Macaca mulatta: one gene and its partner. Each later gene encodes a partner of the first gene's protein in a complex. Links are inferred from orthologs where the notes say so. Each region holds a gene or a part of one and is shown in the gene's direction. Other genes may lie near its edges.

What was found.
Region 2: the proteins of NALCN (region 1) and NALF1 are in contact, whole or in part, in a cryo-EM structure (PDB 7CM3), measured with the Homo sapiens proteins. The link is inferred for Macaca mulatta from reciprocal best matches to the Homo sapiens genes NALCN and NALF1. Residues at the interface, in NP_001337678.1 of Homo sapiens: Cys207, Val209, Asn220, Leu222, Ala223, Ile224, Pro225, Thr227, Tyr237, Pro240, Phe243, Tyr406, Glu409, Phe909, Ala1044, Lys1045, Asn1047, Pro1049, Arg1054, Ile1060, Arg1062, Ile1063, Asn1064, Val1065, Ser1066, Lys1069, Lys1080, Lys1081, Gly1083, Phe1084; in NP_001073865.1 of Homo sapiens: Lys278, Glu281, Phe282, Val285, His287, Lys288, Tyr289, Leu290, Gln291, Glu294, Tyr295, Ser296, Val297, Lys298, Ser299, Tyr308, Trp311, Leu312, Gln315, Leu335, Gln338, Thr339, Cys341, Phe343, Ile344, Leu345, Pro346, Asp347, Asn348, Asp349.

The regions. Positions count from the first base shown.
Region 1 is NC_133422.1:95,722,430-95,738,887, reverse strand, and holds the end of NALCN (sodium leak channel NALCN), read left to right. Parts: intron 1-896; exon of another isoform or gene 897-975; intron 976-1,970; exon of another isoform or gene 1,971-2,092; intron 2,093-2,565; coding exon 2,566-2,716; intron 2,717-4,707; coding exon 4,708-4,857; intron 4,858-6,632; coding exon 6,633-6,750; intron 6,751-9,222; coding exon 9,223-9,416; 3' UTR 9,417-10,914; downstream 10,915-16,458. UniProt on the Homo sapiens protein: Voltage-gated ion channel responsible for the resting Na(+) permeability that controls neuronal excitability. NALCN channel functions as a multi-protein complex, which consists at least of NALCN, NALF1, UNC79 and UNC80.
Region 2 is NC_133422.1:101,701,473-101,718,407, reverse strand, and holds the end of NALF1 (NALCN channel auxiliary factor 1), read left to right. Parts: intron 1-7,671; coding exon 7,672-7,961; 3' UTR 7,962-9,787; downstream 9,788-16,935. UniProt on the Homo sapiens protein: Auxillary component of the NALCN sodium channel complex, a channel that regulates the resting membrane potential and controls neuronal excitability.

The DNA.
Region 1 (16,458 bases):
TTGCAGGGCTAGTTCCTTCTGAGGCCTGTGAGGGAGAATCTGGCCCAGCCTCTCCCCTGGCTGCGGGGGGTGTGCTGCCAATGTTGGGCATTGCTTGGCTTGTTGAAGCATCAGCCTGGTCTCCCTTCATCTTCACATGGCATTCTGTGTGTGTGTGTGTATGTATCTATATTCAAATTTCTCCTTTTATAAGAACATCTGTCATATTACATTAGGAGTCCATCCTACTCCACTGTGATCTCATTTTAACTTAATTACTAATTACATCTGCAATATTCTTTTTCCAAATAACATTACATTCTGAGGTACTAGAGGTTAGGACTCCAACACTTCTTTCTTTGGGAGGAAACATTTAACCCATAACAGCTTCTTAAGCAGGAGTCCATGGATAAAACAGAGGCCCATGGACTTGCAAAGGGAAACAATTACATCTTTATTTTCACTAGTCGGTCTTTGAAATGCGGCATTCTCTTCCATGATGAATGTAGGCAACAAACCACAGTCACATTAGTAATATCCATGTCTTTGTTACCAGGAGAAATCATAGATATTTTCAGGTTACATAACTGACTGCCTTGGCTGACATCTTACAATATCATTTATGCTCACCAGTGCTTCTGAGTTAGGGTAGTCATTTGAGCTCTGCTAGATGGTATTATTTAATGGAATAATAAAGAAGCACTTATGTTACTATATCACTGCTGTTTTAAAGTAATTTGAGAATTGTATTTTAATATAATTGGTTTCCTTTGTAATACTGTATATTTCATTCTGTGCATCTAAAGCATTATTTTAAGAAATGTCCCATAAGCTGCACTGCCACAGGGGCCCGTGCCACAGAAAAAATAAGAGCGATTGACTAGCAGTAGCTATTTTAATCACATAGCAGTACCTACCAGTAGTGCGTGGGGTACTGTGTTGTGTCTCAAATTTCAGGAGAACTCAGGTGTACAGAAATATGCTTGTGGCCAGAAGCTAGAAAAAAAAAAAAGATCAGATCATCACAGGAAGAATCTGGGAAAAGTTCTCACGAGTTATCAATTTCACCTCCCACTATTCAGTTCTTCCACGAACAAGCTAAAAAGCAGAAAAAGATGGGACGGAGAAATGCATATGAATCACAGAGGATGTCATCTCTGTCAGAATGTTTCTGAGTCTCCTCCTAGTGACAAATTTTTTTAGGTTGACATGAGGCAGATAGGCATACTGTGGTCATTAATAGTTAATATTCAGCCTCTTTGGAACACACTGGTGTATCTAATAAAAATAGACCCAGGCAAAATCAATGGTGGGGCTGTTTCTCCCCTTCCTATTTATTCCCCTAGCCCAGTATATGATAAAAACAGTGAAGATAAAAGCAGTGAAGCTTTGATGAGATTCTTGATGAGTCAGGGAAGAGAAAATTCATTTTGTTCCCTCTGTGGTGGGAAGAGATTCAGCAAAGAACAGAAGTCCACTGTACCAGTGCTCTCAAGAGCCTCCATGCTGTGCTTTGGGCTCTAGGGTAGAAATGAGCTCACAGAAGCGGGTAGCGCACAGGTGCACCAGGGTGCATAGGTCTGAACCATAACCTGGAATCCTGTGGTTACACCTGGGTGCATCACACTGCCAAGAGGGCCTGTCTTCTCCTGTGGTGGTGGACTGCTCAGTCCAGGCATCCTGGGAGCTGCCTTACTGCCCCGTGACCCGCGATGCAAAACATCTGCTGTGTTGGCTTCATCTACCACTGCATGGGCCTGTTGTGTGTCGAGGGTTAAAAGGGAGTGGATATTCAACCCTGGGTTTGTTTTGTAGCCTCTAAAATCAATAAAGAAGGCCAGGTGTGGTGGCTCACACCTGTAGTCCCAGCTCTTTGGGAGGCTGAGGCAGGCGGATCATTTGAGGTCAGGAGTGTAAGACCAATCTGACCAACATGGTGAAACCTTATCTCTACTAAAAATACAAAATTAGCTGGGCGTGGTGGCACATACCTGTAATCCCAGCTACTTGGGAGGCTGAGGCAGGAGAAATGCTTGAATCCAGGAGGCGGAGGTTGCAGCGAGCTGAGATCGCACTTTACACTCCAGCCTGGGCAACAAGAGCGAAGCTCCATCTCAAAAAAAAAAAAAAAATTAATAAGGAAGATACAGAAGGATGAATGAGATAAACAGAGAGGGAAATGGAATGCAGTGGGTAGGAAGGTGTGATGCACAGCCAAGCATATTAACCATCACCACGTGGGGTTAAGTGTGAAGAAAGTATTCGAGGCACAGTCTCCCTTCTGCAGAGAAAGTCCTGAGTCTTTACCTAGCCTGGATCTTTTGTTTTACAGGTACTTAGATGGCACTGCTATAAGAGCCTCACAGATATTAACTTACTTAGTCATTAAATAAAGAAGTTACCAGGACTATCTTTATGAGACACAGAGAGGTGACAGGACCCGCCCAAGACACATGGGTGGTGAGGGGTGGCATCAAACGCTAGACTTGTTAGACGGAGTGATGTCCTCTCTGGATTTTGACATATCTAAAGGTGTAAATCTCAGGTAAATCAGAGCTGCGATTGCGGGTGTGTTCCCCCCACCAGCATGCTTTCATACCGGTCCGTGGACATCCGGAAGAGCTTGCAGCTGGAGGAGCTCCTGGCGAGGGAGCAGCTGGAGTACACCATAGAGGAGGAGGTGGCCAAGCAGACCATCCGCATGTGGCTCAAGAAGTGCCTGAAGCGCATCAGAGCCGTAAGTGAACTAACTGCACACATGCAGGTTGGGTCCCCGCCCTGCCCCGCCCGGAAGTAGGAGGACAAAAGAAAAGAGCTTCATGAACATGGGATTAGCTCCTTCTGTGATCGGCCTTCTATCCCTTTAAACTATGTCCACTACCTCCACTTACAGTGGTCAGATCTTGATGCAGACTTTCACTCTGGTCCACAGTCAGCCCTGCCCTCTGTAGCAGAGTCCATTAGGAGTTTCCATGGAATCCCATTTTTATAATATGACATGAACACTTAAAAAGCAGTTTATTGGCCAGGCGCAGTGGCTCATACCTGTAATCCCAGTACTTTGGGAGGTCAAGGGGGGAGCTCAACTCACTTGAGGCCAGGAGTTGGAGACCAACCTGCCAACATGGCGAAATCCCATCTCTACTAAAAATACAAAAATTAACCGGGCATGGCACACATGCCTGTAATCCCTACTACTCAGGAGGCTGAGGCATGAGAATCACTTGAACCTGGGAGGCAGAAGTTGCAGTGAGCGGAGATCGTGCCACTGCACTCTAGCCTGGGTGACACAGTGAAACTCCGTCTCAAAAAAAAAAAAAGTTTATTAATATTAAAATATGATGTCCATTTATTAAACTCCACTGTACAAAATTCTAGAATTTTCCACGTTGAATTTGCAAAACTACTTTAAATTGCTGCTAAAAATTTCAACAAACTGTGATAATGTTGTTTATTCTGAAAAGACCACCTCTCAAGATTAATGATGTTTCCTGCTTCCTGAGTTATAAGCCTATAAGATTCTCTAACTCATAAATTAATGAATGTATACTGCGTTGGCATATACTTTGTTTACAGTGAATGTCTCTATGAGATAATTACCTTTATGAATGCTTTTGGCATGTTTCACGGACGGGTAAAAAAACGCAAAGCAATCACTAAACATTTATATGTAACAGCGATTGTTTCAATCTTCTTCCTCAGAGCAACATCAATTGCAGAAACATGTATTTCTATTGGAAGAGAAAAGGTTCCCAGAGAAAAGATACAACTCAACCTCCTATAGCAAGGCCAGCTTCCCAGTGATGTCCCGTCACTGCTGGCCACTGTAGCTATGTTAGCTCCAGGGATCAATCTGTCCTCCTCTAGCTCTGAGAGGGCACAAGGAGCCCTGGCTTTTGTATATGCCAAGACAGATTGGTCTCCTGGATCGGCCTGGAAACTTCAGAACCAAGACAAGCACGAAGGTTTTCTCATCCACCCGAGGCACTTTGCCTCTTACAATTTGCAGGAAAGTGGGAAAGGGGTTGGGGTTGTATTGGCTTAATGAGCCTAGAATAAAATAAGAGGAGAAAAAATAGAATAGCTACATTAGTAATTTTAAATAAGATACAAGCTGGGCAGTATCTCATGCCTGTAATCCCAGCACATCGGGAGACTGAGGCAGGAGGATGGCTTAAGACCAGAAGTTTGAGACTAGCTGGGGCAACAGAGTGAGACCTCCTCTCTGGGAAAAAAATAATTAATTAATTAGCCGGCCACAGTCATGCACACTTTTAGTCTCAGCTTCTCAGAAGGCTGAGGCAGGAGCATAGCTTGAGCCTAGGAGTTTAAGGTTACAGTGAGCTATAATAATCACACCACTGAACTCTAGTCTATGGGACATAGTAGACATAGATCCCATCTCAAAAAAACAACAAAAAAACAGAAAACACCAACAACAAAAAACAAACATAAATAAAACACAAGCATCAATGACCGTCACTATTCCTATTGTTACACAAATGAAAATGGACTGAGAAGTCAACACATACCTCTCTAAGCCCACTTTTGCATCAGCCTACCTTAATTGAACGTTGAAATTAGTTCAGGATCTTTACCTGGAAATTCCTAAGAGGTCACCAATCATGCGGGTCTTAGGAGAGGGGAGAAGAAAATATGATTTGTGTGGCGGTGGGGCAGGTGCGATGCTGGGTTTATTTTACTAAACAAACAATCGCATTTCCATAGAAACAGCAGCAGTCATGCAGTATCATCCACAGCCTGAGAGAGAGTCAGCAGCAAGAGCTCAGCCGGTTTCTGAACCCGCCCAGCATTGAGACCACCCAGCCCAGTGAAGACACGAATGCCAACAGTCAGGACAACAGCATGCAACCCGAGGTATGGGCACGAGGCGTCCTCCATCCCAGGACACTCCGTGGGCTTCTTTCTTTTAATAAAAATAAATAAAATGGGTGCTGGTCACATCATTCAAACAAGGTGACAATATTTCTAATAGGAATATTTTCATTAAAAAAAAAAAAGACAATGGAAATCCATTGATCCAGATTACGTCTGTGTCTTTGCCATCTTGGATGTAGTTGAGGTTATTTAAAAATATTCTGATTCATATGAATGCCAAAAAACAGCTAATGCCCTGAACTTTGTAATTCTGTAGTTTTATTTTTGTCTAAAGAGTGAACATCAGATCTAAGGGCTGCATTTTAATCTGGAAATATTACATGGAGTATGGTTTACATGAAACTCTGCCCTAAATGTTTTCCTGTCCTCACTAAAGTCATAGAAATTTGTGGTAGAATCAGTGAAAATGTTTGTAATTGGCTTTCAACCTCCTTAATCAGACTCATTGAAGATGTATCCTTTCTTGGTTGGGTATCAGAAGAACATATGGAATTCAGGACAGTTGGCTTGCGGAGTTTTTATTTATTAGGTCACGGCATATTTTCATTTTCAAACTTGATGTATGTGTCTATTTTAAAAAGTAGAGGGAGTTATCAGTGTCCTGGAGAGTCCTGTGCTGTGAGAAGCAGCTGCCTGGGAGGACCTGCCCCTTTATGAGGCAGCAGTTACAATTTGAGGTTAACAACGTGGAGCTGATCCTGTACTCTGTGCAGAGCCCCAAGAGCACCAGGCTCCGTGAAGTGCAGCACTGCAGCCAGGGGCCGGGAGTACCTTTGGAAGCCTAAGGCTCCATGGCCCAGCAGGGTGCTCCAGGAGGCCCACTGGTGCCATAGCCCAGTTTTCAGTAGATTTCATGTTTTGGGCTCCCCAGCCTTTAGAAATTATCTGCCACCGACTGCAGGGATTTCTGTAGAGTTAGTCAACCAAGGGGCAAGGTGAGGCATCTACAGTGGTCTTGCCACTGGTCACCCTGAAGATGGTTGGCAATGTCTCGCATGGGGGAGGGAGGCAGGCTGAGGTCAGGAAAGACAGTGAGACAGGGCCAATGAGGCCGGGGAAAGTGACGATTGTAGAGGCCTCTGTTTTTAGATGAAAAAGCCTAAGAGGTCACACACACACACACACACACACACACACACACACACAAACACACACACACAAAAATCCAAGAGGGGATATCAAAGAGATGTGAAGACCAAGGCTTTTAGAAAAGGGAGAGGTGACAGGTGAACCCGAGAACGGGTGAAATGTGTGGGATGTCTTGGCATCTCTCTTTGACTTTAGCTTAGATTGTTACCGGCTCCATCCTCCGCCAGGGCCCATCATACAGCTTTGCCTGAAGAGAACTCTTTCCCTGAGGCTCTAAGTGTGGATCTCCAGGCTGGTGAAAGTAGACTTCCCCTGTCCAGCCGGTCCCCACGGCCCCACCTTCCTTCCTTCAGTGTCCCGTCCTTGCCCCCTGATTTGCCAGCAAAGATATGAAGGGAAACAATGACATTCTCAGGCACGGAGGGGACTGAGGCAGTGGGGGTTTCCTGGGAAGAGCGGTGTCCCCTTCAGCACGACGTGCAGTGGTAGCTCTTTTGCTTCTGTGACCCTTTATACCCGTGTTCCCTTTTCCCCATTATGGACATTCTGAGTCCATGTTGTTCTTCCCGCTTGTCCTCCTGCCATGTGTTTTCCTTTCTTATAGTAAAAGGAGGAGAGCACAGGGTTGAGAAAGACAGTAACTGCATGCTTCTCCTCCCATGCAGACAAGCAGCCAGCAGCAGCTCCTGAGCCCCACACTGTCAGATCGAGGAGGAAGTCGGCAAGATGCCGCCGACGCAGGGAAACCCCAGAGGAAGTTTGGGCAGTGGCGTCTGCCCTCAGGTGGGTACATCCAGGCATTTCTCCAGCGATCGAGGCATTTGAGAGGTATTTACTCTGTTTGTGTGTTTTGGGTCTTGCCTTTCAAAATGCACGTCTGCATCTACAGTTGTTTACAGACAGCAACATAATGAAAAATGTAGTCTTGTCAAAAACACTGCCCCCAAAAATAACTTCTCTAAATATGACTTACATTAGCCCCCATTTTCTGGGTACATTTCAGGCTATCGTGGTTGAGAAGCCAGCACCTATGAAAAAGCCAAGATTCAGAAAGAGGGAGAGATTTCCAAGGGCTTTCTGTGTGCCTCAAGGCATGCCCAAACATGGGCAAAATGTATTTAATTGAAGAGGGAGTGGGCAGATGCACTCATTCAGAAAATGCCACCAAGTTCTCCAAAAAGGGACAGGCCCCCTATTTGTCTCAGAACACTTTGCAGCTGAGCTGGTCACTGGCTTTAGGCAAGCTGCTTTACCTCCGTACAGTAACAAAACAACAAAAAACATGTGGTACTCACTGTATGCCAGTCACTCTCCTAAGTGCATTACTTGTGTTCTCTCATTCAATCCTTTCCTTTAATAAACCCATTATTTTCCATATTTTACTGATTCAGTCAGAGAATTTTCTTCTATGAGCTTCTTCTGTATAGGGTTTTGGACAGCCAGGATAATCCCATTAAAAGCACTCAGGAATGGAGGGAGAGCAGTGTTCCCCACAGCCCAGTGTCCTTGTACATGTTTTTCTCTATAGATAACTAACTTCATGCTAAAGCAGGAGCTTATAATGATCTTTAGCTGTGCCCCAACGTCAGCCCAATCGAAGTTAGTTGTGTAGCATATGTGTTCCACAAAGCGGATGACAGCACAGCTTACATTTTGAGGCTGACGATGTTCCGTGGATCTTCACTGGGACTACCACCAAGGAAAGTATCCCCTTTCATATTCAAGAATTTATTTTTCAGAGATCAGAGAAGATGTAGGTTCCTCCTGATTCAAACACAGCAGAGAATGACAGCATCAAGACAAAGCAGATGGTGGTACCAGGTCAAAAAAAGCCTTCAACTACAAGCTGACTAGGTTCAGTTTTATCCTGGAGGCAATTAGGACCTAGCAAAGATCTCTGAGCATATGTGATTTTTGGAATCTATGCTTTAGGACGTTGACTTGGCACCAAAGGACGAATTGTCCACAGCAGAGCCTGGAGGCAGGTTACAAGCTGGAGGAAGTTACCACTGTGTGAGCATGAGGCAACAAGGGCATGGACAGAGCTGGGGGCCAGATGCTGCAGGGACAGATAGGAGAGGTGACCTGGGGAGAATGCACAGTCCTTGGTATTCATTTAAATGGACAAAAGAAATGATGCTGTCAAAAGTACTTCCATTGGGCCGGGCGCAGTGGTTCACCCCTGTGATCCCAGCACTTTGGGAGGCCGAGGCAGGTGGATCATTTGAGGTCTGGAGTTCAAGACCAGCCTGGCCAACATGGTGAAACCCTGTCTCTACTAAAAATACAAAAATTAGCTGACCTGACCAGTAGTGGTGCGTACCTGTAATCCTAGCTACTTGGGAGGCTGAGGCAGGAGAATCGCTTGAGCCTGGGAGGCAGAGGTTGTGGTGAACCAAGATTGTGCCACTGCACTCCAGTCTGGGTGAGAGAGAGAGAGAGAGAGAACCTGTCTCAAAAAAAAAAAAAAAAAAAAACCAAAAAAACAAAACTTCCACTGGTCCATGCCTAGGTGGTCCCCACCAAAAACTGTGATCATGAAATAGACATGATCTTGGGGTCAGGCTGAGTTTGGGGAGGCAGAGGGGAAGAAAAATAGTATTTTGAGGGGGCAGCAACAATGTCACCAGGTGTCATGCTATGCACTTTCTTAAGTCATCTCATGTAACCTGTTTTAATCCTGACAATAGTGTAATTAGGACATTTTCATTGTCTTCATCTTACAATGGAGGAAACTTGGATTCAGAGAGATGAAGTTGCCCATAGTTACATATCCACAGGTTACAGAGGTGGGTCCCAAGACCATGACTGTGAGGCCCCAGAACCACACCTTTCCTCCTGTGCCCTCACTGCATCCCTCCTCGCCTTCACTGTGGGTCACAGTCTCCTTCCTTTTTGTTTTTTTCTTTATTGCATATGCTAACGAATGCACAGGTTTCTATGACACTTAAGAGTTCCCAAATTGGAATTTTTAGCCATTTTCTAGTTTTTGTAATTATTTCAAAATGAAAGGGGGTGAACGGCACTTTTTTTCCCCCAAGTGGCATCATGAGTTGTCCATGAGCATAATTTAAAAAAAAAAAAAATCTATCGTGAACATAAAGAATCAAGTCCTGAAAAGGATGTTTACTTAGCGTCTGTGGATAGAACCTGTTAGCCAAAAGTATCACTGATGGGAATATCATGGGTTTTTAGGAATGAGTACAATAGGGTGGAGCACTACCAAGTGGCTCATAGGACTCATTAATTCCACAGCACCAAAACCAATAAGCCATTCAGTGTCCTCAGTCAACTTACGGTTTGGAGGGAGGACAACCATGAAATCTGTCGTGTGCAAAATGAACCCCATGACTGACGCGGCTTCCTGCGGTTCTGAAGTTAAGAAGTGGTGGACCCGGCAGCTGACTGTGGAGAGCGACGAAAGTGGGGATGACCTTCTGGATATTTAGGTGAATGTCAATGTGGATGAATTTCTAGTGGTGAAAATTGTTTTCTAGTAATTTCCTTGATTGTCCAGTGAGCAATCTGTAATTGATCTATAGCTGAATTCCAACTTGTCACAAGATTTTTATAAATTGATGTTCATCCTGCCACAGAAAGGCATAAGCTGCATGTATGATAGGTCACTATCATTGCTCAAAAAAATTTTGTATACTGACTGTACTGATAATATTAGAAACGATACAGCAAGCAAATGTATATCACTCAAAACTGTCATATATTCTGTCTGTGTAAACTAAGGTATATATTCATATGTACTCTAATGCAGTATTATCACCACCCCCCAAAAGAGTGCTAAGCCCAAAGTGGCTGATATTTAGGGTACAGGGGTTATAGCTTTAGTTCACATCTTTCCCATTTCCGCTAGAAATATTTCTCTTGAGAGAATTTATTATTTATGATTGATCTGAAAAGGTCAGCGCTAAACTTATGCTAAAATGATAGTAGTTTTACAAACTACAGATTCTTCTTTTCCTCACATTATATTTTAAAATATACACAAGACATTTGGCGACCAGAACAAGTTGATTTCTCTCCTCAGTTATGCTAATGAAACTGTTGCCTCCTTCCGAGAAAACTGCGTATGCAAGCACCAGGCAAAGAAATGGACTCAGGATGCTTACTGGTTTATAACAAACCTGTAGATAGATCACCTGAGTGACACAGTTGTGCAAAGATGTTAAGTTTCTTAAGAAGCCTTTTAATAACTCAGTTTAGCAAAAAGAATAAAACTGTATAGCTCAATTTATTTTTAAAAAATCTTTGCATGTGTGATGTTATTGTTGGTTTCATTTCTTACCCAAGGTATGTCTGTTTTGCCACAAATCAGCTGAGTCATTTCATTATGGGTTGCTCCTAACACACCATTGCTATGTTACATTTGAAATGACATCTCTGTTACCAGAATCTCCTATGGAAATAATGGTGCCCTGCAAAATCTTCCTCTGAACTCACAGGTTAGGGATCACACAACTTAATCATTTTTCGTTTTTGTTTTTTTGTTTTTTTTTTTTTTTCCTTATATGTCAGTGGCCCATGTCCTCTGGGAAAATTAGAAAAGCCAAATGATTACAAAGTGCTGTTAGATTTCTTGTGCTGGGTTGGCCAAGTAGTAGTGGACTCAGACCTTTAACTATTTTATTACAGACTGGACATTTGCTGTTCAGATGTGTTTTAGCAGAGGGATTATCTCAGAACCCTCTGACCTCCAGGTTGCTTTATGATCTATTTTTCTCTATTTAACATTCCTCAGACAGGCAAATAGCACATTCCTTCTGTGTCACAGATGTGTCATGGTGATGGCAGGCTAGAGTTTATATGATTCATTGTAACTATGAGATAAAGAACAACCAGTCCATGTGGCCAAAAGGATTAGATTTGATTTGATGTTCACTTGGAGTTTACTTTTTGTACATACAAGATAAAATAAATATTGGATTTGTAAAATAATTTATGCTGAGTTGACCATTTTTAAACCCTCTTCTTGGCGGGGCAGGCACTCGGTAGCAGCACATTGCAAACCCTGGATTGAACATTCAGTCCATAATTAGTTGGCAAAAGCTGTGTCCCTGATATCCATTTCAACTCAGTTCTCTGAGCCAGAATGTTCCTTTTACATTTGTGCTGATAAGGCTGAGCGAATACCCTGCGCCTTCCAAGCCTACAATGAACGGAAAAGGCATTTACAGGTCCAGGGCATGGGTCTGTACTAGTGCTGCATAAAAACAAGATGTTTTTGGCTCATTACACTTGAGAAATACAGCTTCATTCTCACGAAACTGCTGAGCCCTTCCTAAAACGTCTGGAATTGATGTTCAGCAGAACATCATTGTTGTTCATTCTGCAGTGAAGCCAGGGGCAGAATACCAATGTATTTAAAGCCATAGCACTCTATATTTTCAATGAAGCAAAACAGTCACACACTTCCTGTGGGGCTCCTCACCACAATTTTCCCGAAACAGAGCAGATGCAAGCCAGAGAAAGTAAGCGCCACCCCCTTTTAGATTTTACCCCTAGATACGCAAACATATGAACAATCCCGTTACACAGATGGGAAAACTTGGGCCACAGTGTTCCCTGGTCCTTAGGGAAGCCAGACACTGATACTAATCCTGTCATCACACCACCCACTGCCTTTAATTAGAGGACGCTGTCGGTTCCAAAGGCACCAGAAAGCGTATGGGGTGGAATACTTGACTCAGAGCCCCTGAGAGAGCAAGCCACACACGTGTGGCCCTTATGGCAATTCAGGGGGATTCAAAGGGAACAAGGATGGACAGAATGGAAGGGCTGATGCTATTCACTCTATTCTTAATGGTGCTTCCAGATCAACATCCATCAGCTGGCTGTGCCTTGGCCAAGATGATGAGATAAGGGCACGTAGAAGAAAAACCAGCATTATAAAGCCTTACAGGAAAGCAGCTTTAAGCCAGTGGAATGATGTGTTTTGTGTTTGCCTGTTTCTTTGTAGGAAGTGGCATTCTATACATGAGTGATTTTCAATATATTGGTAAGCAGTGGAACTGTTTCTCAAAGTCCTTCAACAGATCCCAAAATTTTAACCAGCCAAAAGCCAGGCAGCCCTGGTTGAAGTTGAGGTGAAGATGAAAACGCCACTCATATGGTCTCTTCTCACCCACTATTACGGGTCCCCATGATATAAGGTAATTGTTAAATCTGCCATAGGAAGGTGGAGTGGTGATCAGAGGAGGCTTTTGGAGTGGTGGTGCCATTTGAATTAAGTATTAAAGAAAGAATAATTGGATTTAAATTGTCAGAGATGGGGAAGCAGCAGACAGAATGATGCCTGGAATAATAAAAGGAAAATTATCAAGGAGAGCGTCAGTTGACTCTATTCAATGAATTCCAAATCTTCTGAACAGGTGTGCAAAGGCAAGACTGGAGACTTGGTCAAGGGCACGAAGAACCTTGAATGCCCTACACTTCATGTGGACAGTGCTCAGTAGAAAAGGGGAGTCTGTAGAGGTGGGGAGGGAGGAAGATTATAGTAATAATGCAAGACACAGGCTTTAGGAGGAGCACACCGGGAGCAATGTGCAAAATGGAATTGAGGAGAGAGAGACAGATGCAGGGTGAATGTTTACAATACCCCAGCTCTCCAAGAGAACTGTGGTTCTAGTTCTCCAACCTCGAAGTTGAACTTCTATAGCAGCACAGGACATGGAAGGAAGATGGAGATGTGACAGGGACTTACTGAGATGAAAGGGGCTGCAGGACCCCACCACACCGGCCTCATTCATCTTGCACCAATGACTTGCTCTTCCAAACAACACTGCCCTCTGTTCATCTTTTCTTCAACCAGTACCCACAGAAACACCCTGACCATTTTCTGGACCTAATTCCAGAGGACCCTTTCTTTGCTAGCTTTCTCCCACAGGCCTTATAACTTTTATTTAACTTACCTTTTTTGTTTGACTCAGTTCCCTGGATCACTTGTTAATCTTTTACATTATAATTGCTTGGGAGTACTACTACTACTCCTGGATCTTGCAAGCTGAATGGAATTTACAAGTTGGGAGTTTACTAGGTGGAGTTTTATAGTTGATGGGAGAGGGATGGCGCCTCCAGACTCACCTTCTCTTTACAGCTATCCCCCTATGGAACACCCCTTCTCTCTTTGACTTTAGGATTGCGTTTTGAGATATGGGCATCAAACTGCTCAGATTTTATTGTGGGGATGGGATGAAGAAGAAGAATAGAGGTGTTGGAAGAAGAGAATTAACTAAGGCAAAAAGAAACAAAAGTTACCTAGAAAGACACACATTCTCCCTTTATCTACTGACCACAGTGGTCTGGAATGAGGACTTATCATAAATAATGACAATTTTTCCTGGACAGAATTATGGTCCATCACCATTGACACCTATTCACTCCCTATCTCTGACCTAGCTGGTTCCAGGTCTCGCAGTATCTTTTCCATATCATCTAAGCACCTCAATAGTCCCCAGACTTCTCTCCAACCATGCTCAAGGTCATGGCTTCCTATTAAAAAAACAATTCTGTAGGCAGAAAAGTGCTTTCAGTCTCTCTCCTTCTCTCCAGCGTGAACCATTCTATGTGCCCTCCTTCCTCCTTGGCTTCAAACACAGGTGCTCCCTCTCTTCCAACCCTTTCCAACAGAGCTTTCATCTGTGCCAACTCTCATTTCTGATACACTATCTTCTTATTGCAGCCCCTACATTCCTGAACAGAAGTCACACCCAGCCTGAACATGCTGCACGCTTCCTCATTCCTGGGACATTCTTCTTCCATTGGGACAGAGCTCAGCAACGTCCAGTGCAGATTCAGTACAAAAGTTACACCAGAGAGATCTCCTTTCCTATGATGATCCTCTGAGAATTCAATTCACAGACGGAAAAACAAACAAAGTAGCTTTCCAAAAGACAGGTTATTCTCTAATTAGGAAGAGCTGTCTGAACTCTGCCTATAGTAATTTATCAATGGAAAGTCTGAATAACACAAGACACGCTGTAATTGCCTGAGATCGGCTATTGTCCGATGAATGAATCAGCAGGTAGTTCACTTACTTACTCATCCATTCAAGATTGGGGCAGTCATGCTTCTTGCTCTGTGAGTCTACAGATGGATGCTCTAATATCATGGTGCTCATGGTCTATTGGGGAAGCAGAAAATAAACAGGTAAATATATAAGTCAGAAGGTTTTAAGTGCAATGGAGAAAAATTAACTTGACTCAGAAGGACAGGCCTTCCTCTTGGATGTAATTTACTATTAAAGGACTCACTGCTCAGTTGCCATTTTGGCAGAGACCTGAGGCAGTGTGCATGGCAGCCATGGGAAATAAATTAAATTAAATTAAATGATAACTTCCCATTCCTTCCTTCTGCAAGCCTCGGACCTTCTAATCTACATTCTGTCTCTATGGATTTACCTGTTCTAAATATTTACCGTAAGAGAAGCATACAATATTTGTCCTTTTGTGACTTTTATTTCACGGAGCACAGTGTTCTCAATGTTCATCCATGTGGTAGCCTGCGTCCATACTTTACTCCTTTTCATGGCTGGGTAATATTCCACTGAAAGTGCACACTACATTTTGTCCATCCACTCATCTGCTGATGGACATTTGGTCGTTTCTACCTCAGCTTTTGAGTGGAGGTCACATGCTTCCTGGATAATCCTCAGCCAGTGATGGAGCACAATAATAAAAGGGCTTGCCATTTTCCAGGCAGCATGGGACTCTTCCACAGGCAATCTCTGCGGCAAAAGCTCCCTGCTGGGCTGGCTGACACTTTCTCAATGCAGTACGCATGGAAATCTGAGGCTCTTCATCCAATCCTCCTATCCCCTCCTCTCCCTGCAAGGATGTCAGACCTGCACTGTGGTCTGAAGGCCCACCCTGCCCACTCCTGTCCCTTCTCTCCTTTATCTTTCACAGGCCTTACCCCTGATAAATCTCCAGCTTTCCTAACACTGCCTTGTAGTCTGCTTCCCAGAGGATTCAGCCAACTTAGTGAGAGAGTGGGCCATGGAAAGGCCTCGGACAAGGGTGTTCTGGCAGAGGAAACATGAGGTGTCAAGGCCTTCAAGTGGATATAGGTTTGGTCAGTTGGAGAAAATAGCAAGGAGGCCATACTGACTTGGAGTCCAAATACTAAAAGGGAAAGAGGGATGACATGAAGTCAGAGATGTCACAGGAATCATATCATTCAATACTTCCTAGGCTGTGGTAATCCTTCACTATTCCTATTTCCCAGTAATTCAATGAAATATTAACCTGGGTACTGCTGTGATGAAATTTGGCAGATGTAATTAAGATAGCAGACCTTAAACCAGGGAGTGGAACACACTAAAATTAGAGAAATGTCTCTGGCTGGAGTGAGAGAAATGTGGCTGGAGTAAGAAGAGTAAGGAGGAAACATCTAAAGCAAAAGACGGACCTGGACCCTACCTGCTGTGGGTGGAGGGGCCACCTGGAAAGATTGAGGGATGCAAGCAGCATCTAGGAGCAAAGGCCACCTTGGGCTGACTGCCAGAAAGGGAATGGAGATCTCATTGCTACAACCATGGGAACTGAATTCAGCGAATAACCTCAATGAACAAAGACACACATCCATCTCCAAAATTTTCGAAAGGGAATACAGCCTTGCTGTCAATCTGATGAGATTCAGGGCAGATAAAACAGCCAAGCCTACAGGACTCTGACCTGCAGAACTGTGAGTTAATAAATGGGTGTCGTTTTCAGCTGCTAAGATGGAGACAATTAGTTATGGCAGCAATAGAAAACTAATACAAGAGAGTTGGCAAGATGGCTGAATAGGAACAGCTTCAGTCTGCAGCTCCCAGCGAGACCAATGCAGAAGATGAGTGATTTCTGCATTTCCAACTGAGGTATCTGGTTTATCTCACGGGGACGGGTTAGACAGTGGGTGCAGCCCATGGAGGGGGAGCAGAAGCAGGGTGGGGTATCACCTCACCCAGGAAGTACAAAGGGTCATGGACCTCCCTCTCCTAGCTAAGGGAAGCCCTGAGGGACTCTACTGTGAGGGACTGTGCTATCCAGCCCAGATACCATGCCTTTTCCATGGTTTTTCCACCCACAGACCAGGAGATTCCCTCGTGTGCCTACACCACCAGGGCCCTGGGTTTCAAGCACAAAACTGGGCAGCTCTCTGGGCAGATAAACAGGTGCAGGAGTTTTTTTAATACACCAGCAGTGCCTGGAACCCCATTGAGACAGAACTGTTCACTCCCCTGGAAAGGGGGCTGAAGCTAGGAAGCCAAGTGGTCTCACCCAGCAGGTCCCATTTGCACAGAGTCGGGCAAGCTAGGATGCACTGGCTTGAAACTCTCGCTGCCAGCACAGCAGTCTGAAGTCAACCCGGGATGACTGAGCTTGTTGGGGTAGGGGTGTCCACCATTATTGAGGCTTGAGTAGGTGGTTTTCCCCTTACAGTGTAAACTCTGACTGCAGAACTCACCACAGCATGGCAAAGTACCTGGGGCCAGAC
Region 2 (16,935 bases), about 6.0 Mb from region 1:
ATTCTATTTTTTATCTCCATGAGTTCGTTTTAATTTTTTAGCTCTCACAAATAGGCAAGAACATACAAAGTTTGTCTTTCTGTGCTTGGCTAATTTCACTTAACATAATGACCTCCAGTTCCATCTGTGTTGTAAATGACCAGGATCTCCCTTTTTTTTTTTTTTTTGAGACGGAGTCTCGCTCTGTCGCCCAGGCTGGAGTGCTGTGGCGCGATCTCGGCTCACTGCAAGCTCCGGGTTCACGCCATTCTCCTGCCTCAGCCTCCCGAGTAGCTGGGACTACAGGTGCCCGCCAGTACGTCCGGCTTTTTTTTTTTTTTTTTTTTTTTTTTGTATTTTTAGTAGAGAAGGGGTTTTTCTGTGTTAACCAGGGTGGTCTCAATCTCCTGACCTCGTGATCCACCCACCTTGACCTCCTAAACTGCTGGGATTACAGGCGTTAGCCACAGTGCCTGGCCTATTTTTAGTTTTCTGAGGAACCTCCATACTTTTCTCCATAGGGACTGTACTACTTTTCATTCCCATGAACAGTGTTCCCTTTTCCCCACAACCTCACCAGCATTTGTTATTGCCTGTCTTTTGGGTAAAAGCCATTTTAACTGTGGTGAGATGATATTTCACTGCAGCTTTGATTTGCATTCCTCTGATGATCAACTGTGTTGAGCACTTTTTTATATACCTCTTTGCCTTTTGTATGTCTACTTTTGAGAAATGTCTATTCAGATCTTTTGCCAATTTTTAAATTGAATTATTAGATTTTTTCCTATGGAATTGTCTCAGCCCCTTATATATTCTGCTTATTAAGCCCTTTCCAAATGAGTATTTTTCAAATCTGTTCTTCCATTCTGCGGGCTGTCTCTTCATTTTGTTGATTATTTTCTTTGCCATGCAGAAACGTTTTAACTTGGTATGATCCCATTTGTCCATTTTTGCTTTGGTTGCCTGTGCTTGCAGGGTATTACTCAAGAAATTGCTGACTAGAGCAACATCCTGGAGACTTTCCCCAGTGTTTTCTTTTAGTAATTTCATAGTTTGAGATCTTAGATTTAAGTCTTTAAGTCATTTTTTTTTTTTTTTTTTTGAGACAGTCTTGCTCTGTTGCCCAGGCTGGAGTGCAGTGGCACAATCTCGACTCACTACAACCTCTGCCTCCTGGGTTCAAGCGGTTCTCCTGCCTCAGCCTCCCCAGTAGCTGGGATTACAAGCTTGTGCCACCATGCCCAGCTAATTTTTGCATTTTTAGTAGAGATGAGGTTTCACCATGTTGGCCAGGGTGGTCTGACACTCCTGGCCTCAAGTGATCCATCTGCCTGTGACTCCCAAAGTGCTAGGGTTACAGGTGTGAGCCACAGCACCTGGCCCCTTAAGTCTTTAAATCACTTTGATTTCATTTTCGTATATGGCAAGAAATAGGAGTCTAGTTTCATTCTTCTGCATATGGATATCTAGTTTTCCTGGCACCATTTATTTAAGAGACTGTCCTTTCCCCCAACTTATGTACTTGCCACCTTTGTCAAAAATGACTACACTGTAGATGTATGGATTTGTTTCTGGGTTCTCTATTCTGTTCCATTGGTCTATGTGTCTGTTTTTATGTTAATATCATGCTATTTTGGTTACTGTACCTCTGCAGTACAATTTGAAGTCAGATAATGTTATTCCTCTAGTTTTGTTCCTTTTGCTAAAGATAACTTTGGCTATTCTGGGCCTTTTGTGTTTCCATATAAATATTAGAATTATTTGTTTTATTTCTGTGAAGAACATTATTGGTATTACTGCAATTACTGTTGCACCAACCTAATATTTTTTACAGGGATTGCATTGAATCTGTAGCTTGCTTTGGGTAGCATGGACATTTTAACAATACTGATTCTTCCAATCCATGAACATGGAATATCTTTCCATTTTTTTGTGTCCTCTTTAATTTCTTTCATCAGTGTTGCATAGTTTTTACTGTAGAGATCTTTCACTTTTTTGGTTAATTCGTAGGTATTTTATTTGTAGCTATCATACATGGCATTGCTTTCTTGATTTCTTTTTCAGATTGTTCACTGATGACATATAGAAATGTTACTGAATTTTGTATGTCAATTTTGTATCCTGTAACTTTACTGAATTTGTTTATTAGTTCTAGCAGTTTTTTGGTGGAGTTTTTAGTTTTTCCCATATATAAAATTGTGACATTTGGGGCTGGATGATAATTAATATAAGAAAAATAAAAATAAATTTAAATAAATTTAAAAACAAAATCATATCATCTGCAACAAAGAATAATTTGACTTATTCTTTTCCAATAAGTCAAACTGGATGCCCTTCTTTCTCTTGTCTGATTCCTCTAGGTAGGAATTCCCCTGATAATAAATTCTGATTTTACTATTTATCTCTACTTACAACATGAGTCATTAATATTATGTGAGATTTTCTTACCTGCCATGCACTGTTCTAAACAATTTATGTGTATTATTTAATTCTCAAAAAGAAAAAATCTCTGTGAGGTTGGTACTGTAATGTCAAACTGATTCACTAGAGATTTCAAATAGAACAGCTTATAAGCAAAATGTATCAGAACATTTCACCACCCAGAAAATTTGCTTTTGTTTTTTCCTAATGCTAATTTGTGCAATTGTACTTGTTTGTGCAAGGAGGTTCTTGTTTGAGAAATTATTTTTACTTGGAAATATGTTTTTATAGTTTCTTCAATGCTGAGGAAAAAGTCGTTTCTGTAGGTAGGTGGAAAATTTCCTAGGAGATTTGCCCCAGCAGGTTATCTGTGTGCAGGTGGTTTTTGGAGGAGAACTCTCAGGCATGCTACCTATGATGGGGTGAAGAAGGAGAAATTTGGTAGAGGGAAAAAATCTGAAGCTGGGATGGCCCTTGAGAGATGTCTTGACTTCAGTCAAGTGGGCACAGCCTTGGGACCCCTCCCTTGTTTGGAGGCTGCCCAGGGCCTGAGAAATAGGTCAAGGCTGCTGACTTCAACCAACGGCAGTGTCTGGGAGGCATGCAGGGTGAAACCCTCTGTAGATAGCACTCCGAACAGGAGGAGTCTGTGCCCCCAGGTCCCAAGGAGGTCATTGATCTGCTTAAGTGACCCAGTGACTCTATGTAAGTCAAAGAAATAATGGCCTTAGAAGGCTGCATGTCCTTGCGTACTCAGAAATGCATTTGACAGAGAAAAAGGCATCTGTCAGAATTCAAGGCAGAGAAGAATGATGTAGAAAAAAGAGCTGGAAAATTTTCTAGGCAGTCCCAACCAAAAAGATTGTTTTATGGCTTAAATCCAAAAGAATCGAAGAATAGGTAAGGAGATAATAATTAAAACCTCTTAGAAATTAGAAAGTCGATGCATACTAACAGATTTGCTGAAACTTAGGAAAAGTAATATGAAGCAACAGAGAGGAAACAGAGTCAGTCCGATTTACATCCAGACTCAGGGATTGACAACACGAGATACAATGGAAGAAAAGGCAAAATAAGGAAGACTGAGTGGAAGTCAGTTTTAAGAGGCAGTCAGGTCCCCAAATCCCATTCCGTATTCCCATCCCAGAGACTGGGGGCATATTTCTTTCTGGAGGAAACTTTTTCTTTTTGAGGTGACATAGAAAAGGTTGTTGGTATGAGCAACAGTAGGAGGAGTTCAGGGCAGGGGACCACCCTGACCACCAGGATCCAATGCACACCCCCACCCTGAAGCTGAGACTCCCCCAGCCCCATCTTGCTGCTCCCTCCTGCTCCCTGGCCTTCTGCTTCCTGGATGGATATTGGATAGACTTTTCTGGGGAGTCTGATCAACCTAAAGACAGAATTTTAAAAGTTTCTCCATGCTGGCCAGGCACGGTGGCACCCGCCTGTAATCCCAGCACTTTGGGAGGCCAAGGCGGTAGATCACCAGGTCAAGAGATCTAGACCATCCTGGCCAACATGGTGAAACCCTATCTCTACTAAAAATACAAAAAAATTAGCCAGGCATATTGGTGGGAGCCTGTGGTCCCACCTACTCCGGATGCTGAGGCAGGAGAATCACTTGAACCCGGGAGGCGGAAGTTGCAGTGAGCCAAGATGGCGCCACTGCATTCTAGCGTGGCGACAGAGAGAGACTCCATCTCAAAAAATAAAATAAAATAAAATAAAAAAGTTTCTCCATCCTAACCGTTCAGGCATGTCATCTCACAGTGCGGCTCACCGGCCACAGTCCTCCTTAGGTGCCCAGACTTCCTGTCCTTTTCATTTTGTGCAGACAACTAGAAATGCATGGTGTTTCCATGAGAAGAACAAGAGACAAACAAACACAAAAGGTGGCAACACAGAGAAAATGGAGGGAATTTATTCAGAGATGGAATGAAACACAACAAATAAGGGTACCCCAAATATCTCAGATATCTCAGAGTGAAAAAAACATCAACATGGTCACCACAAAATAAGAACAGTTGCTTCAAAAAGCAACATTCAGATAACACGAAGGAACTCTTGGAACTTAGTCCCAGGGAAAAAAGCAAAATTCAGTGAAATTATGTCCCGTGAAAACTCACCAAATTCTCCTGAAACTAGAGTTAAGGGATGAAGTAATATGAAATATTAACAGCAGAGGTAAGAAAATTAAAGGACAAGTTCTGAAGGTCCAACAGCCAAACGTAGGACCAGTGATTGAATAAATCTGAAGAATGATCATTTCTAAATTAGAATTCCATACCCAGCCAAATAATCAATTAAATGTGAGGTAGAATAAACACATTTTAAGGCATATGGCATCTTGGAAATTCACCTCATGAGCTTTTCCTACTGAAGGCATTAGAGGTTGTAAACCCCCAAAAGGAGAAAGAAGGGGATGAGGCACAGGATACAGGGAACAGGGGATCCAGCACTGCAATGCACAGAGCGGTAGAAACTCATCAGGCATGATGGCAACCAGTCCAGACGGTGGGAGGCTCCAAGAGATATTTCTTCAGAAAAGAACTGATAGAACACCTGATGCAAATGAAAAAACTGGCAATGCATTTGGGTTGAATTAGTTAGAAAAGGGAACATAACAAGACAAGTATTATCTGTAGAAAAAAAATGAAGCGGTACAGGGATAGAAAATTGGACTTTACTACATGGTTGAACTAAGAATTACATTTATGTCATCCTAATACTGTAAAGGCAACAGCAGGTATCAAAGTTACTATTTATGGAGGAATGGGTGAGGGTTTGGTGGGAAGCATATTTGCTGGAAGGAGGAGGAGAATAAATGTTTTATCTCCACATTTCCTGAGGGGAATCTACAGATAATGCTAAAAAATGAAAAATCAAGAAGAGCATAAAACATGTTATTCTCAGAAAAGGAGCTAAATACAAAGCAGCTGAAAGATATGGAAATATTTGCCTTTGAGAAAGAAGAATTTGAGATGTGGGAGGTGGAGGATTTTTTGTTATTTTATAAAATACTCTGGAATTATTTTATCTTAATATAGATGTGTTATTCATAAGTTTGAGTAAAAACTTGTTAAAAAGATGGACAGGAGAGAAAAAAGAAAGAATATTAATTGTGCCAGACAAAAAGAAGGGTTCATTTATTGGCCTGAATGAAGTGCTTCTATTTTTTTTCTGCGATGACTTTAGTTGTAAATCAGCAAACCAGTTTCTGAGCAACTTTGGAAGAGCTTCTTATTTACATAACGTTGTTAAATATATTCTGATTATTAGCATTCTAAAATGTTGATCTAAAGGACTTCTAGATTTCTATTTTTATAATCTTATTGTAAACTCCTTTTGTTATAGTATGTAGTATTGGAAACGTATATTTCAATAAATGATTAGTCTACCACTGAGATATCTTATATGAAAAAAGAAAATATCATACAATAAAAATGTCAGAGCTGAAGACCTCATTAATTCAGTTTTTTTTTTTTATATTCTACCTAGGCGAAGGTGAAGTTTACCTTTGAATGCCTAAGAAGAAATGAATATTGTAAGCATCATTATAAGGATATCTTGTTCATTTCTTTAAAAGAAACCGAAGATTGAATGTATATTATTTGAGATTCTTTTTAATTAAATAAATAGGTATACTGAGTTTATTCATGTAATAAATGCTCATTAAGTATTTTGTTCAGGCGTTCTGCTACATGAGAATGCAAAACTAAGAATGTATAGTTTATGCTTTTAAATTGACAGATAAGAAAATTGAAATTAAAATGAGCAATTGTGATTAAAAGAAAAATAACAATAATTGCTATAATTAAGGGTTAAGCAAAATGCTAATAGCCCAGGGGTATGAGTACAAGCTTCATACAGGGAGTTTCACTTGAACTACATTTGGAAGATAAATGAGAAGTATGTAGAGGAATTGATGGAGGACATTTTAGAAAAAAACAGTGACTTGGCTAGTGATACAGGCTTGGGTGCTCTGGGACGAGCCAGTGCTTCAGGAATGTGGGAACATTGAGCAGTGAGCCTGGAGAGAGAGGAGAGACCTTTAGATTTTATTGTTTAGGTTGAAGCAATGAGATACCATTGATAACTATTGTTATTCACAGTAGCCCAAATTTTCATGTTATTTCTATGTGCTAGCCACTGAACCAAGCATATTACATGAAAAATCTCATGTAATCCTTACAACTACTCTACTATTATCCCCATTTTTGTTTTTCAAGCATGACATTAATATGACAAAATTTGTCTAGAAAGTTCATTCTAACACCCACGAATAAATGGTTCAGTCAAGTAGAAAAAAAAAATACACAATGATTTATACAGCTTGCATAAAAATATTCTATGTAATACAGCAAGGTAAAGGATTGGAAAGATTGTAGATACACCGTGGTTTTATTCTTTTCACTACTTCCAAAGTTTTAAAATGTGCATCTGTCAATTTTAAAATAACAATGTGTGTTATCAGAGGAAGAAGAGAAAAAGGGAAGGAAGAGTTTCAGCAAGGAGGAATAAAGTGAAGAGAGAACAAGAGAAGCAGAGACAGACAATTCCTGATAGGCACAATTGGAGGACAGATCAAATGAGAAGACGAACAGCAGAGAGACTCCTTCGTGATGGTCCAAGCAAAAGATAAGGAAGCCTCAATTCAGGCAGACTTCTATAGAAAGCAAATGGAGAAGATGGAGAAAAATAAGAGAAATGTTTAGAAAATAAATCAAAATGACCCGATCACCATTGGACACATAGATGGTTTTGCCCATTCTCCCAGACAGGGAGAGAGAAGACTTGATGAGGCTTCTGAGAGGAAACGATGATAACATGGTTCCTAGAGCTATGACATGATGATCTGTTGCTTATTTCACTCAGCATAACTAGCTAATGTCAGTTTATGCATTGCATAAATTGGTCACATTCCTGTTAAAGAAGAAAGGATGGTTGCATGTACTTGATCTCCAGGTTGATCCAGAACCTCAAGTTCTGACTTTGACTTAATGAAATCTTCTATTCTGTATTCCCAACAACCCAGAACTTTCATGGTATGACTGGCAGGAATATAAAAGAACAACTTGAGGAATCTAACAATACTGGTTTGAGAACATGGGTGACTCTTTATCCAATTGTATTGACTTGATTTTCCTTTAAAAAAAGTCTAATTGCCTGTAAGGTTGTGTGGGTTAGAATGTTAAAGCAACAGCTTCACTCTACTATGTCGCAAATATATTTCCTTCCTGCTGACACTCTGCTTCCTTCTTCCTACAGGGCTTTATGAAACCTTTCTAACCAATGATGAACCAGAATGCTGTGACGTCAGGAGAGAAGAAAAATCAAATAACCCATCCAAAGGGACCGTAGAGAAAAGTGACTCCTGTCACAGGACATCGCTCACAGTGTCATCAGCAACAAGACTGTGCAACAGCAGACTCAAGCTGTGTGTTCTTGTACTGATTCTCTTACACACAGTGCTCACAGCCTCGGCAGCACAGAATACAGCCGGACTGAGCTTTGGAGGCATCAACACGCTGGAAGAAAACTCAACTAATGAGGAGTAACGGAAGGACGAGTGTCACCACAGCAGCAGCTGGCCCGCCATGAAAAATGGCAACTGCTGTCTCATGTAACAGAAACTGGGTGCTTTTACCCTCGAATTACTTATTGCAAGGCCTTTAGGGTAAAATTTAAACAGATGGGCCTGAATCCAAACAAGGACACAACCACAGCTTTTTATTGACTAAAAGGCTGGAAAGTGACTTTAAATTTCTCACACCATTTTATACACTGTGTTTTAATGTTTGGAGGTTTTATTTGCTTTCGTTTTGGTTTGGGTTTATTTGTTTGTTTATTTTTTGCACTTGTTAATGCAGGATTTATTTTGGGGGATGGTTTCTCAGAGGTAAACTAAGTCTTTTCACTGTCTCTATCTCTCTATATTTCTAGTCATTGTGTGTGTTCATCAGATAGTTCTGTCTTTATGTCCTGTCAGTTTCTATTAGAGGAATGATTGCTATGACCTCATGGTATAGCAAAAAACAACAACAAAAAAAGAATAAAAAATAAAAAAGACAAAAAAAAGAAAACAACAAAAAATAAAAATAAAAAAAATCCCTAAGTCTCCCTTCTACCCACAGAACCAATACCCTTCCCGGCCTTTCCTTTCCCTCGCCCTCTTCTCGTCCCCTAAGCAAACAACATCCGCTTGCTTCTGTCTGTGTAACCACAGTGAACGGGTGTGCACACTTGGTGGGCCTCTGAGCCCCTGTTGCACAAACCCAAACCAGAGCGGAGCCAAGGGGGCCTGGCAGGAGTTCCTTTTTAGCTGAACAAACAAGTGCTCTCCATAATAGGTGGAATCAGACAGTTAACACATTTTTATGTTGAAAACTAAATAAAAGGAAAAAAATTAAAAAAAAACACTATCATGAACTGTATTGCTCCAGTTCCCATCCCCAAGTGGCCCAGCCCTTTCTTGCTGGTCCAGTTGGACAGGAGCAGCTATCTAGAATCAGGATGCAGGGAGTGAGGAAGTTTTTTCCTTTGACAATGGAGGTGGGCTTTCATTGTGATTTCAGTTCTGTTGCAGTAATATACGAGCACATTTTGGCCATTGTAATTACAGGGAACAAAGGGATTGCGGACACATATCTGGACTTCTTTTCCTCCCTTATTGTTGTGGAAGAGACACTAGAAATGCTCAAACACCTGCAATATACAGAATATATACAATTTTATTCCAGTATTTCCCTAACATATGGTTTAAAATTATTCCAGGTATACAGTGTATGCAATTCTGCATTATCACAGAGGAACAACTTCTTTTTAAAAAAATAAATAGTTCAGCCATTTTTATTAATGTGCAAAAACTTTATCACTCTAACATGCTCTAGGTAGTTGAGGAAAAGAGGTCTGATCACTCTGTATTTTTTTTTTCTTTGTGGGAACATTTCACCTGCTGAGTGTATATGAATTTGCTTTCTATAAAAGGCTTTTATGAGTTTACAGTAGAATCAGTGGAAGGAAGAGTTAATAAGGGCTGTTTTTAAAAAACAAACAAACAAAACAAATAATTAAAAAAAAACATTTTACATTCCTTCCTATTCTCTAACTACACTTGGGAAGTGCACTTCAGATAAGTTTGCAGTGTGACTGAGAGATGAAGGAAATCCATAGAAAAGGTCCTCTTAGCGAACAAAATTTAGTTATTAACTTTATAGCTATGAAATTTCCCTGGGCATTTGTTTTTGTTCAAACAGACTTTAACCTCTGCATCATACTTAACCCTGCAACATGCGTACAGTATGCATATTTTGTTTTGAAAAAAAATGTTTTGTTCCAGTCTGTTAAGAATATTCAAAAATAATAAAGGTATTGCTTAATAAAATTGCTAGAATTGTTTAGCAGTACATGCACAATATTTTACTAGATTCTTTGTTTTAATAGTGTTTTGTTGAGACTGAAAATCCTAAAATGGTCTGCGCAAATACAAAAAAAAAAAAAAACACCAAAAATGCAACATTCTCCCCGTTTTTGTTCTTTTAAAATTTTTTTTTTCTGCAAATGCAAAAACATTACATGTGGACAGACACATACACATAGGCATATTTTAATTTATGGAAACATCGTGCTTTTCTGGGGACACAAGCCGAGGAAGTGAATGGCTCGGGGGAGACACATTAATTGCATGGAATCGTTGACTATGAAACACTTGTAGAAATGAGCACTTTGGTATCCCTAACCAGTGGCGGAATGCAGATTCCAGTGGTGCTGGGCGGACAAGAAGCAGAGGGATTGAGGCTGCAAGAGATTCCTGAGGAAGAGCTCACAGGGTGATTTTATTCAGATGACCTCTAGGTGAATGGCCAGGAAAGAGTCTGTTCTGACCTTTATCTACCTCTGCTGTGCTAAGGCCACTCCACATGCCGTCTCACCATGTCTTCAGCGTTCCTCATGCTGCTTCTCCCTGTGCCGCAGGCGTTTCCAATCTTGCCGGAAGATGACAAAGCAAATGCGAATTCACTCACTTTTATTGGCATGACAATAAAGTATTCTTTCTAAACACTTAGCAAAATGATGAAAAACAGTATTCCTTGAAAGATAGGTTTTCATTTTCTCAATATATTTTGAACTGACTAAAGTTCTTTACAAATACAAGAGGATCAGAAGGTTCCACTTACCCGTGTTTTAGCGTTTGTTTGGAGATAGTGCCAACCAAAAGCTGGAAAACGAAAACCACCATTACTTTCCATAAGAGGTACGCCCCCCAAAACAGTTTTGAAAGTTGGGAGAAACACTGCAGGCTTCATCGTAAATATAAAGTGATAATTTAGGTGAGGAAGGAACAGTAAGGAGAGAAGGGGAATGAATCCTTTCTCCGTATCAAGTCACCCAGCGTTGGAACAGTCTCTGATGCTGGCGGAATCTTTTTCTTGTCATGTTCATCTGTTCTATTACAGGAGAATGATTTCAGTGCGTAGTATCTATTATTGTAAGTGTGTAACCACTTTCTCACAATATTTCCATTGGACATGTTGAAGCAGAGCAGCTTCTTCTGGGGTCAGCCAGAGGATCCAAATAGGCAACAACTCCTTTCCCAAGCTCAGAAACAATCACTGATGATGCAGATTTCACCACATCCATTCATTCTTCGTAGTAGTTTTCCTGGCACACACTTGAGCATGCTTAAGGTTGTGCACATGTTCATTTTGAATAAGTTCAGCCCCTGCTCCTTTGTAATCATCTTGTTTAGTTTTTCCTGTAGAGGATGTCTACCGTATACTGGATAGTGAACTACAATATTAAAATAATTATTTCTGCAAGCAAATTGAAAACCAAGAAAACAATATTTGTTTCATAAATGTGTGGCATAGATTTCCCTGTGTTTATTCTTTTTATCTGCAATCGAGAAATTTCAGTTTCTGGAATATGTTGGTACTGCTAAGCTAAATGGCAAATAACATAGAGTTCAATGTCATTCTTTATTGCATTTACATTTGGTGATACATTATACTGAACTTTTCTCGCATTAAAAGGATAGTACTTTTCCCCTCTCTCACAAGACAGTAAGTGAAAGTTGTTCTTTTGAATGGCATCATTACAAAAAGTAATTTGGTTTCTTACTAATAACTTGGTACCTTAAGTACTAGAACCTGTAGTAGTTAAAACAAAAGAAAATAGGCAGATAGCAGAAACAAAAGAATGACAGGAAAGGAAGGAAGGAAAGAAAGGAGTGAGGGAGGGAGGGAAGAAGGGAGGGATAGAGGCAGGGAATGAGGGGGAAAGGAGGTTTTATATGAATGAATAAGTACATAATTTTTCCGGGGGAAAAAAAGTAAATGAAATAAGCAATTGGATGCCAGACCCATGTGCCAAATACCTGAACTGGCATATGGCATTTGATATCTGAACAATGTCAAAAACGTTAATCAATCTGAAGCATGATTTACATTATTTCTCACTAACAATGAAATTTACAATGTTCTTGCTACTCAAAGCATTAAATCAACAGAGAACTGAAAGCTGCATTTTGTCTTATTTAGAACTGCAGTCAGGTATTTCATTTCTTTTCTGTTTGTTTTTTCTTTTTCTTTTTTTTTTTTTTTTTTAGATGGGAACTTGCTCTGTTGCTCAGGCTGGAGTGCAGTGGCAAGATCTCTGCTCACTGCAACCTCCGCTTCCTGGGTTCAAGCAATTCTCCTGCCTCAAGCCTTCCGAGTAGCTGGGACTACAGGCTTGTGTCACCATGCCTGGCTAATTTGTGTATTTTTAGTAGAGACGGGGTGTTGCCATGTTGGCCAGGCTGGTCTTGAACTCCTAACCTCAGGTGATCCGCCAATTAGGCCTTTCAAAGTGCTGGGATTACAGGCGTGAGCCACCGCACCCAGCCAGGTATTTAATTTCATAAGTATACATATGCATATATGAGGAGATAGGGTTATATACCATGGTGTGTGTGTATATATATGTATGTATATATATATATGTATGTATATATACACACACACACACACACATACACACATTGCTTGCAAATAAAACTTCAACTAAAACATTATGTAGTCCGTAACAACACATGTATACCATAATGATGAATGATCCTACTTGTTTGTCAAAGTTAGAGCAGCATGATCATTTAAAAACCATACCTACTTTGACATGGGAAACAGACTCTCAAAATGTCTCCATTAATGAGGAAATCACAATTTTGAAACACCCAGAATCTCCATCTTCCAAGCTTTAGCCATGTTTATAAAAAACCTAATATAGCAGGTAGGTATTGGGTGATGATGAATAAAAAGACTTTCAGTGGGGAGAAGGAAAAAAACTAAATATAGTTTTCAAGCAATGTCTTCATGACATTTATAAAAACTATGAAACTCTGCTACAAATTCTAGAAATTCTCCAAATAATTAGAAAATGTACAGATAATCTTCTTAGCCTTGGAATAAAAGTTAAGGCATGAAACAAAGTATGAACTATGGTTTTCATTCTTGAGATACTGTACTTCAGGGTTATGTTTACTGCACACAAGACATTCAGATTAAACTCAGAAGAAAATCACTTGGTTATTTTGTCCCGGGCCACACAGGTAAGTAATGCAAATGATGGAACTCAAGCATCTTCTGATTACAAATTACTCAAGCTGGCTCGGAGGCAAGGTGGGATCCATAGGTCTCAGACACACTTGAAGAGTTGAATGGATTTTCTCCATACTCCAAGATATTTGTAAAATCACTCAATCTTAAATGAAAAAATCAAAACCGTCAGGAAGATCTAGCGAATGTCTCAGAGTTTGTTTGTCATGTTACATTTTGTTCCATGACTTTGCTGTGTTGTTCAATATTTTGGAGGTAAAGGAGAAGAGGGTCTATGGGAATATTTCAATAAAATATAGATTTTTAATTTTTATTTTTAATGTGGAGAAAAGGCACAGGTTCTTAGGGCAAAGCCATGGTTTGGGTATGAGCTTTGGCTCCAGGTGACACAGGGAGGTCAATGATGTATTTGTACATGACACCATGCGAGAAGTGTACTTCGTAGCAACATTGGAGGCTTAAGAGAGATAAATAATATAAATGTGCCTGGACACAACAGGTGCTCAGTAGTAGTTAGTTATCGTGACTATTCATTCACAAAGTGAAACTGGATTGGCTTGCTCATAGGGACTGCTCCTGGAAGTTGTTCAGAGTTTCTGAATTTGGCTTATCTCTTAATTACGTATTTTTTAACAACACCTCACATCCTTAATCTAGCAGACTGACCGTCAATGGATTTTTCAACACAGTTTGAAAGTGTTAACATATATTACAGAACTAAAGTGAGCTCTGATGACTTTTAATATAAACAGCATTGGCCTCTTTTGATGTCCTCTCCCAAAAGGCTACTACTGACAAGCAAACGTTAGAGGCATCTACACAAATAGAGGTGGTTCTATATAAAGTGTAAATTGATCTACAGTGGTACTAGAACTACTGATGCAACTTCAAAGTGGTTGTTAAGCCACTCATAGATCAAAAAATATATATAAATGTTTGATGCCTCTGAATTCCTTAAAAAACACTATAGTAATTTTAAACTTATGAAAATGTTTAAATTGGGGACGGAGCAAGATGGCCGAATAGGAACAGCTCCAGTCTCCAGCTGCCAGTGCAAGCGACACAGAAGACAGGTGATTTCTGCATTATCAACTGAGGTACCGGGTTCATCTCACTAGGGAATGCCGGATAATCAGTGATGGTCAGGGACTGCAGCCCGACCAGCAAGAGCTGAAGCAGGGTGAGGCATCTCCTCACCTGGAAAGCGCAAGGGGGAAGGGAATCCCTTTTCCTAGCCAGGGGAACTGAGACACACAGCACCTGGAAAATCGGGTAACTCTCACCCCAATACTGCACTTTACCAAGGTTCTTAGCAAACGGGCACACCAGGAGATTATATCCCACACCTGGCCAGGCGGGTCCCACGCCCACGGAGCCTTCCTCATTGCTAGCACAGCAGTCTGCGATCTAACAGCAAGGCAGCAGCGAGACTAGGGGAGGGGCGCCCGCCATTGCTGAGGCTTAAGTAGGTAAACAAACTCGCTGGGAAGCTCAAATGGGGTGGAGCTCACAGCAGCTCAAGGAGGCCTGCCTGTCTCTGTAGACTCCACCTCTGAGGACAGGGCATAGCTAAACAACAACAACAACAACAAAAAGCAGCAGAAACCTCTGCAGACGCAAACGACTCTGTCTGACAGTTTGAAGAGAGCAGTGGATCTCCCAACATGGAGGTTGAGATCTGAGAACGGACAGACTGCCTGCTCAAGTGGGACCCTGACCCCTGAGTAGCCTAACTGGGAGACATCCCCCACTAGGGGCAGACCGACACCCCACACCTCACACGGTGGAGTACGCCCCTGAGAGGAAGCTTCCAAAGCAAGAATCAGACAGGTACACTCGCTGTTCAGCAATATTCTATCTTCTGCAGCCTCTGCTGCTGATACCCACGCAAACAGGGTCTGGAGTGGGCCTCAAGCAATCTCCAACAGACCTACAGCTGAGGGTCCTGACTGTCAGAAGGAAAACTAACAAACAGGAAGGACATTCACACCAAAATCCCATCAGTACCTCACCATCATCAAAGACCAGAGGCAGATAAAATCACAAAGATGGGGAAAAAGCCGGGCAGAAAAGCTGGAAATTCAAAAAATCAGAGTGCATCTCCCCTTGCAAAGGAACGCAGCTCATTGCCAGCAACGGATCAAAGCTGGATGGAGAATGACTTTGACGAGATGAGAGAAGAAGGCTTCAGTCCATCCAACTTCTCAGAGCTAAAGGAGGAATTACGTACCCAGCACAAAGAAACTAAAAATCTTGAAAAAAGAGTGGAAGAATTGATAACTAGAATAATTAATGCAGAGAAGGCCATAAACGAACTGACAGAGATGAAAACCATGACACGAGAAATATGTGACAAATGCACAAGCTTCAGTAACCGACTCGATCAATTGGAAGAAAGAGTATCAGCAATTGAGGATCAAATGAATGAAATGAAGCGAGAAGAGAAATCTAAAGAAAAAAGAAGAAAAAGAAATGAACAAAGCCTGCACGAAGTATGGGATTATGTAACAAGACCAAATCTACGTCTGATTGGGGTGCCTGAAAGTGAGGGGGAAAATGGAACCAACTTGGAAAACACTCTTCAGGATATCATCCAGGAGAACTTCCCCAACCTAGTATGGCAGGCCAACATTCAAATTCAGGAAATACAGAGAATGCCACAAAGATACTCCTCGAGAAGAGCAACTCCAAGACACATAATTGCCAGATTCACCAAAGTTGAAATGAAGGAAAACATCTTAAGGGCAGCCAGAGAGAAAGGTCGGGTTACCCACAAAGGGAAGCCCATCAGACTAACAGCACATCTCTCGGCAGAAACTCTCCAAGTCAGAAGAGAGTTGGGGCCAATATTCAACATTCTTAAAGAAAAGAATTTTCAACTCAGAATTTCATATCCAGCCAAACTAAGTTTCATAAGTGAAGGAGAAATAAAATCCTTTACAGATAAGCAAATGCTTAGAGATTGTGTCACCACCAGGCCTGCCTTACAAGAGACCCTGAAGGAAGCACTAAACATGGAAAGGAAAAACCGGTACCAGCCATTGCAAAAACATGCCAAAATGTAAAGACCATCGAGGCTAGGAAGAAACTGCATCAACTAACGAGCAAAATAACCAGTTAATATCATAATGGCAGGATCAAGTTCACACATAACAACATTAACCTTAAATGTAAATGGACTAAATGCTCCAATTAAAAGACACAAACTGGCAAACTGGATAAAGAGTCAAGACCCATCAGTCTGCTGTATTCAGGAGTCCCATCTCACATGCAGAGACATACATAGGCTCAAAATAAAGGGATGGAGGAAGATCTACCAAGCAAATGGAGAACAAAAAAAGCAGGGGTTGCAATACTAGTCTCTGATAAAACAGACTTTAAATCATCAAAGATCAAAGGACACAAAGAAGGCCATTACATAATGGTAAAGGGATCAATTCAACAGGAAGAGCTAACGATCCTAAATATATATGCACCCAATACAGGAGCACCCAGATTCATAAAGCAAGTCCTTAGAGACTTACAAAGAGACTTAGACTCCCATACAATAATAATGGGAGACTTTGACACCCCACTGTCGACATTAGACAGATCAATGAGACAGAAAGTTAACAAGGATATCCAGGAATTGAACTCATCTCTGCAGCAAGAAGACCTAATAGACATCTACAGAACTCTCCACCCCAAATCAACAGAATATACATTCTTCTCAGCACCACATCACACTTATTCCAAAATTGACGACAGAATTGGAAGTAAAGCACTCCTCAGCAAATGTACAAGAACAGAAATTATAACAAACTGTCTCTCAGACCACAGTGCAATCAAACTAGAACTCAGGACTAAGAAACTCAATCAAAACCGCTCAACTACATGGAAACTGAATAACCTGCTCCTGAATGACTACTGGGTACATAACGAAATGAAGGCAGACATC